2 linked regions of the Ovis aries genome follow. Each later gene encodes a partner of the first gene's protein in a complex. Links are inferred from orthologs where the notes say so. Each region holds a gene or a part of one and is shown on either strand. Other genes may lie near its edges.

The links. The genes of interacting proteins can lie anywhere in the genome.
Region 2: the proteins of ATP2A1 (region 1) and SLN are in contact, whole or in part, in a crystal structure (PDB 3W5A), measured with the Oryctolagus cuniculus proteins. The link is inferred for Ovis aries from reciprocal best matches to the Homo sapiens genes ATP2A1 and SLN. Residues at the interface, in XP_069919846.1 of Oryctolagus cuniculus: Phe88, Val89, Leu96, Ala100, Ile103, Val104, Trp107, Arg110, Asn111, Asn114, Arg324, Lys328, Trp794, Leu797, Gly801, Leu802, Thr805, Ala806, Phe809, Trp932, Ser936, Leu939, Leu943, Leu946, Ile947, Val950, Pro952, Leu953, Ile956; in NP_001075856.1 of Oryctolagus cuniculus: Met1, Glu2, Arg3, Ser4, Thr5, Arg6, Glu7, Leu8, Leu10, Asn11, Phe12, Val14, Val15, Thr18, Val19, Leu21, Ile22, Trp23, Leu25, Val26, Tyr29.

What each region holds. Positions count from the first base shown.
Region 1 is NC_056077.1:26,456,773-26,460,521, forward strand, and holds the start of ATP2A1 (sarcoplasmic/endoplasmic reticulum calcium ATPase 1), read right to left. Parts: upstream 2,815-3,749; 5' UTR 2,627-2,814; coding exon 2,509-2,626; intron 2,230-2,508; exon of another isoform or gene 2,147-2,229; coding exon 2,129-2,146; exon of another isoform or gene 1,735-2,128; coding exon 1,652-1,734; exon of another isoform or gene 1,475-1,651; intron 214-1,474; coding exon 109-213; intron 1-108. UniProt on the Homo sapiens protein: Key regulator of striated muscle performance by acting as the major Ca(2+) ATPase responsible for the reuptake of cytosolic Ca(2+) into the sarcoplasmic reticulum.
Region 2 is NC_056068.1:16,907,503-16,911,251, reverse strand, and holds the start of SLN (sarcolipin), read left to right. Parts: upstream 1-1,007; 5' UTR 1,008-1,100; intron 1,101-3,749. UniProt on the Homo sapiens protein: Reversibly inhibits the activity of ATP2A1/SERCA1 and ATP2A2/SERCA2 in sarcoplasmic reticulum by decreasing the apparent affinity of the ATPase for Ca(2+). Also inhibits the activity of ATP2A3/SERCA3.

The DNA of each region.
Region 1 (3,749 bases):
ACTAGGCAAGCCCAGGGTAAGTGATGGAGGAGGAGACAGGGAGGGAGGCTGGCCTCAGGTCCAGTGTCAGGATGTGAAAGAATGGGGTGGGGTGGGGTCAAAGCTAACCTGCCAAACCCCCACGATGGCATTGGCAATGAGGATCAAGAGGATGACAAAGGGTTCAACAAAGGCGGTGACAGTCTCTTCGCCTTCCTCAAACCAGGCCAGCACCTGGGGAGCAAGGGAAGGAGATCAACAGATAATAAAGCCCCTCAGGTGGTTAAAGGGAGCAGACAGAGATGAGAACACGTGCAGGAGCAAAGTGGGCGGGGCATCACGGAGGCACTGCAGCCCCACATCCCTTTAAGTGCCTACACGGTCCACTCCTTTAACTCACACAAGCGCAGCCACTGCTGTTATTCAGCGAGAACAGGCGGGCACAGACATGCACAGCTCGGGGATTAGCTGGGAATGCTTTCAGGTTTCCCTGACCAAGTTGCTGGCTTGTACACGAAGCTCAGGGGACACCCAGGCCAACTACCCTCAAGCCACATCCATCCCACGGGAGCCAAAATCCGATAGAAAAAACCCTGTGGTCCTCGCAGGCGCCCTGCCCACCCACAGCCCTCCCCCACAGCCTGAGGCAGGGAAGCTCCAATTTCATGAGGGAGCAGGAGGAGGGGATAGTGTTACGGGGCCTCCTGTACACACCCCACCCCAGCTGTTGCCACTGCCAGGCAACAGCCACAGGCAAATGTCAAGGAGCAAATCTGAGAAGGGAGAAGTGGGGTTCTGCCAGCTAGTACTCAGGGGCCCGCGGGGCCTCTACTACAGAGACCAGGGGACAAGGAGACGCTTTTGCCTCCAGAGTCCTGTCTTCCAGGAGGACTACGATGTTAAGAAAGGAAGTCCAAAATGCAGGCGGGACTGCTAGGCTGGTAGGTGCGCAGGGGAGCTCCAGGGCAGGAGCCGAGGCAGGCCCTTGGGAGGCGGGTGGGGGTAGCCCTGAGGTTGAGGAGGAAGGGGAGGGTCAGGTCAAGTGGACGAGGAAGGGGGTCCCGGGAGTTCCAGCCCTGATAGGGGTAGCTGGGAAGTGAGGCCCAGGGACAGGTGAGGGGTCTGGGCCTTTGAGCGCCTTTGGAGTTCCCCTCGCACCAGCAGCTCTTTCCCGCCTCTAGGAGGGAGTTTCTGTGTCGACCAATCAGCGTCAGGGGGGAGGGGCAGGAGCTCCGGGACGCTCGGGGATTGGCGGAGCCGTGTGTGAGCCCCGGGGCATGCTGGGAGCCGTGGTGGCCTGGGAACAGCAGTAGCATCTGAGCCCCGGAGCCCGGCGCTGGGGGGGTAACCCGAGCCCTCGGAGCCCTTGAAGCTCCGGGGGCGGCTTAGCTTCAGTGTTTTGGCTGAGAACATCCTTAAAGCTTAAAATAAAACCTGCCTGCGGGGTGTGGGGGAGGACAGAGGAGTATGCAAGTCAGCGTCATCCCTCTCCCTCAGTTCTAGTCTGTAGGACAGGATGCTGAGGGCTTGGACCAAAGGAGCCGCTGATTTGGGGCTGCCCACGAGCAGATTCTCCAGATCCCCCCAATCCACAGCTCAGGCCAGCCCCTAGATACACCCCCTTACCCCCCTGCCCCACCTGCCCCGCCGCACCACCGCGCAACACACTTACAAAGGAAATGCAGGCGGCCAGGAGAAGGATCCGCACCAGGAGGTCTTCAAACTGCTCTAACACCAGCTCCCACAGGGACTTCCCTGAGGGCAGAGGCAAGGGGAGGGGAGGGAGGTGGGGGGGCGGGGGGAGCGGTGTTAAGGTCTAACGGATGAATGCAGGGACTCCAGGTGCAGGCTGGAGTCCAGCCTGGAGCAGGAAAGGTCTAGGGTGATGGGCAGGCCATTTGGTACTGAGAAAAGGGCTGAGGGAGCTGGCCCGAAGTCCAGAAACAGGCTCCTCAAAGTGGTGGGCAGTTGTTCAAGGATTGGATGCCTCAAGGAGAACGTGCCTGGAAACTTCTGCCCCCAGCCAGACTCTAACCTTTGGGGAGGAACATTTGCCCCAGGAATTGGAAGGAGAGGACAGGGAGAAGGGAGTGGGGCCCAGAGGGAAGGAGGTGTCATTTGTGAGAGCTCAGGGCTTCCAGTAACTTACCCTCCTCGGCAGGGAGCTCTGCCCGGGGAAAAAGAAGAAAAGGATATTATTCATTTGGCATTCAGTCTAATGCCACCCACAACCAGGACTTTGTGACTAAGGTAAGAGAATCAGGCCACCAAAAAGCTGAGGTTCACCGAGGTTGTCCCAAAAAACTTGCCAAAACTCAGGGACTCAGGGATCCTGCTTTCTCAGTATCCTCCCCTCCCTTGCCCTCAAGTGACCAGGTCTTGCCTCTTCGCTAAGATACCCTGGAGGGAGAGGCTTTAGTGTGTGTGTGTCAGTGTGTGTAAGTGAGTCTCTGTGTGTGTGTGTCTGTGTGTGTATGTTGTAGGGATGTAGGAGGGTGTTACCAGCCTTTTCCTCCAGGGAACACTTACCATTATGGCCATATTTCTCCAGATGCCGCTTAACTTGGTCCGGGGTGAGGCCTGTAGTTTCGCTCACCCCAAAATAGGCCAAACATTCTTCTGTGGTCTTGGAGTGCGCAGCCTCCATGGTGCTCCCTTCCTGGGGGCCAGGGGGCGGTGTCTTCCTTCTGGGGGGGTTCTCACACGTCGGGGGCCTTCCTCAGTGTATCCACCTGCCTGTTTGTCTGGGTGTCTTCCTTTTTCTTTCCTTCCCCCCCCCAAGTTATTCTTCCCTTCACGAAGCTCTGACCCCCGTTCCACTTACAGCAGCCGGCCACCCCCCCAGCCCCCAGCTGGTCCTTATGAGGGAGTGGGGGGGCCAGGCTCCCCCCTCCCTCAGACCAGGGATTGGCTGGCCGGGACTCTAGCAGGAGGGGTCAGAAGAGAGAGATATTTCTGCTGACGAGGGGGAACAGTGGGGCTGCAGCCTGAGATGTCACTCATGAGGGAAGCTAAGGTGGCCCCAGCCCCAGGGAAGGGGGCAGGGAGAGACCTCAATTTCTGTCTTCTGCTGCTGAGCCCTTCCCCAATTGCCCCGACTTCTTGAGCTGCACTGAATTTCTTACAGAGTCACTCCTTCCAGTTCTTCCCTTCAGCCCACTTCTCTCTATTCCCTTTCCTCGAACCCCCTTCCCATCTCATCCCCTCTGAACCTACTTCTACTGCTGCAGACTCAGCCTTCCTTACTGAGTTTGTTGAAATGGCAGCAGAGATACCCAGCCCTCAAGGGGCTGAAAAGGGAGAGGACATCCTTTGGGGGCAAGAGGAAGTGGCTCTAAAGGGACAAGGGGAATCAGGGAGGGGAGAGGGTCAAGGGGACAAGGCAGAAGATGGTAACCCTACCCTAGGGAGGGGTTGCTGCAGCCATCAACAAGGGATTTAGTGTCCAGGCCCTGGTGAGCAGAGCCAGGACTGCTTGTCTCTCCCCTAAACCACCCCCCCACCATGGCTCTAACTCAACCTCTGGGAACAGAGCCTTCAGGGCCCCCCCATCCTTGAGAGGGAATCCCCCCCCAAGAAAATGGGATACCCAGGCAGCCGGGAAACCCAAGAGCCTACAGAATGTGCTGATGGCAGACAGAGAGGGATCAAAGTTTCAGAATGGGGGCAGGGGTCACCCCAAGTCACAGAATGAGGGTCACCTCGTCCCACGCTGTGCTCTCTTCAATCCACAGGGTTTACATGGCAGACCCTGGATGGCATGTGGTCTG
Region 2 (3,749 bases), on another chromosome or scaffold:
AGAAGACTTGAGTGCGTTGCCATTTTCTTCTCCAGGGATCTTCCTGACCCAGGGATGGAACCCATGTCTGTCGCACTGGTGGGCAGAATCTTTACCACTGAGCCAGCAGGGAAACCCTGTTAAACCCTTCAGAGGTTCCATTTACCACCAGACACCTAGAATGTTTATTACAAACTCATTTTAGTAGTCAAATTTTAGTAAATGTTTATGTTTGAATGTTACACAATTTTATTTCTTTCAGATATACTATATCTCACACTTTCCACTAGTTTTTACCAGTTCTCCTGCTACCCCCAATCTATCCAAATGACTGAGTTTTGCTGTATGGGTTTACTGCTGTATTAGTATATTGACAGAGATATATAAACCATGGCTTCTACAGCTGTTTCAGATGAAACTGTATATTGATGTGTAAACTTGCAACATACAGCTTAGCCAGAAAGTTATGTGGAACAGGTGACTGGGGAGATAGCTTTCACCACTTGGACTAAAATCAGTTTTGAAGGAGCTAAAAGATGCCTATCGAATTCTGGTGCATGTGTGTGGTTTGAGGAGTGCATGTGCACGGCAGAGAATTCTTTATACTTCAGAAACGTTGAAAACATGGGTGGTTAAATGAAGTTACACTTTTACACCCTCATATGCTAAGTGGAAGAGGCAGCCAAATGCTGTAAAAATTTGTTAATATTAGTCTATCACTCTTGGTTTACAGTGTTTTGAACACATGTTAGAGATACTTGTGAAGATGTAAAAGATGAATTTAAAACCTACATCAATTGTACCAAAAGTCAACTGGAAAGAAAAGGATTTTAAGTCCTTGAGCTTTTATTAATAATACAAATTCGCAGCCAAAGGAATAGCCTTAGTCAACACATTTTCATGTCCCCCTAAACACAAATAGCCTCCAACCTTTGGAGGTTGTTCCTTCGAGATGTTTCACCAGTGACATCACAGTGATTGCCACCTCCCTTGGACTACTTTAGGCCCTGCCCAGAGCCCAGAAGTCCAGACAGCCTGGGAGACAAGCAGGAGTTGGAGCCCAAGTAGGAGAGAGAGAGGAGAAGCCTACTGCAGCCCAGTGTGTCCTTGACCCTATTCAGGTAACAGCAGGATTTTTAAGCTTAGCATACAGTGTGTATGTGTGTACAAGTTGCAAATAAGAAAAGCACAGGAATATTTACATTTCTTAATGAAATAGACAATGCCTGTTGTACACAGTGTTTCTTAGACTAGAAAGAGAATATTATTGATTCTTGTTTTCCTTTTTTTCACCTTATGGCATGTGTTGTCTCCCTTCCTATTAAAAAATACCATACAGGAAAATATGTCTTCCATCTTTTCAAAGTCTCCATTCAAAGAAAGTTAATATCAAACAGTTTATTCAGAGTTCTTCTGTTTTTTTTCACTTTGAATCATATACTGTGATCTTGATGTCAGGAAAGATTTAAAATGAGGCCAAAATTGTCTTTGTGGGTTAACAGCAGAATAATGGAAGATTGCTGATCTGGGGTTTTACCTAACTGTGGTATAAATGTGTGTGAAATTAGAGCCCACTCCCTATAGTTAGCTTATATGTTGATTGAATTGGATTCACTAGAAATTCCCACCTTAATGCTGTGTTTTATTACTTTAAAAACATACAAAACAACAGCATTTAAGCTTACCATCAAAGGGCAAGATATAGTAAGAGGTAAACCATAGGTAATAAAGAAGTGTGATGAGTAGCTGTCAATTCAGAGACCACTGAAAAAAAATGTGAAGAGTCCATAAAACATACCCTTTGAACAATTATTGTAAGGCAACATCTGTATTAATATCACTCAGGTCAAGAAATTGTCATTGGCGCACTCCAGAATTCCATTCTTGATCACTTTTCCCTTTTGCCTTATCATCGGTAATCATCATCTTAATTGTTGAGCTAGTCTTATCCATGGTTTTCTTTATAATTTTACCATTTCTGTCTGCGTTCCTAAACAATATAGTTAAATTTCCTGTTTTGGGGTTTGAAGAAATAGAATTACATTCTGTGTTTCTTTTTGTAAATTCCTCTTTTGCTTCATAGTTATTTTTGTGAAATCCACCCATCTATTATGTGGTGCTGAGGTTCATATATTTTATTTGCTCTATAGCATTTGAAAGTATGAACATACCACAGTTCACATTCATTCTATTGCTGATGAACATTTGAGTTGTTTCCAGCTTAGGACATTATGAAAACGTTGCTATGAACATTCTTATATATATAAATCCTGGTATATATGTGCTTGAGTTTCTAAAGTAAGAGTGAAAGAGCCAGATAAAAGAGAATGAACATTATCAACCTCAATTTAAAAATGTCAAATTGTTTTCCCAAAGGTCAAAAATTTACACCAGCCAGGGCAGTTATTTGTGGTTATCATTCATGTTATCACTCCTACAGAGTAACCACAATCCAACAACTATTTCCAGCCTGCCAGTTCTAGTTCTGCCTCTAACTTGCTATGTGTCATCACACAAACAACTTAACCTCTCTCTAAAAGTCAGCTTCTTAGCAATAATCTTGGGAGAGAGAAAAATCACAAAACTTGCCTGAGTTGTAAAAGTCCGAATTGTTGGGAAGGTCACATGAACAAAGCTCTGGACAACTTTCAGCAACATTTTCTGAATGTGTTCCTGTCGTGTCACAGTCTCATAAGATTTGATGGGATAGTTATTTTGCCCTTCCTGGGTAAAATAATGGGTTGTTTTGATCATTGTAAATAAGGCCTCAAATTTTTTACATATCTTTGTACTTCTTTGGACTTACTCAAATAAATTAGTGTTTGGACCAGGATTTAACTTCATTAATAAATCCATAAGGAAGAATCTGCTTTAGAGTCTTTAGATTCTTTTGTTCTTAGGCTCCTTGCCTGAATTAATCAACTTCCTGTCCTCCTCTGCTCTGATGTACATGCTTATACATTCTCTCTATTTCCTTAATACTTCATTTTCTTCTGTTTACTTTCTCCTTCGAGCAAATCTTTGTAAAGGTTTTCATTGGAAATGGTGTAGAAGGCAAAAATATAAGTAAGAATTAAAAGGAAAGTGAATGATGAATCAGTTACCATTGGTCATATTTTAAACCAACATTCAACAACATACCTGTTAATATAATCTTATTGGAACTTATGTGTTATACCAACAATAACATAAGACATTAAAAAGGATCGTTTGACTGGTTTATGCAATTAATAATTTGGTACACTAACAATAAAAGAAATATAGTAATTATAATTCATAATTCAGGGGAGACTTCTTCCCCCTGAACTTCCACTTTAGAAAATAAAACACTTTTTCCCCTTAAACTTTTTCTACTCCATAGTAGACTTTTGCTCTAAATAGTTAAAATTTTATTTCTAATCTTTACTTTCATTTGGTTTGCATATACACAGTGTCAATTATGCCACATCACTGGAAGTAATAATTTAATGTTTCTCAAAGCATGATTTTCCACAAGTATCATCTATACAGACTATAAAGATACCACCCCCACTTTTTGAAGTGTTTACAATATAAGCACATCCTGGACTTGACTAAAAATAGCTGGCACAAGCCCTTGTTGAAATAGAAGTACCCATGGGGTTAACACTTGCTGTTTGGACTGAATGCCTGTTATGTGAGGGACTTTTTGTTGACCCCAGTAGGCTCTATGCCCAAAGCAGGGATTTCAAGAGGCCAAGCAGCTGTTGAAACTACTTAATGCTTTCACAGGGTTAGACAAAGATAGATCA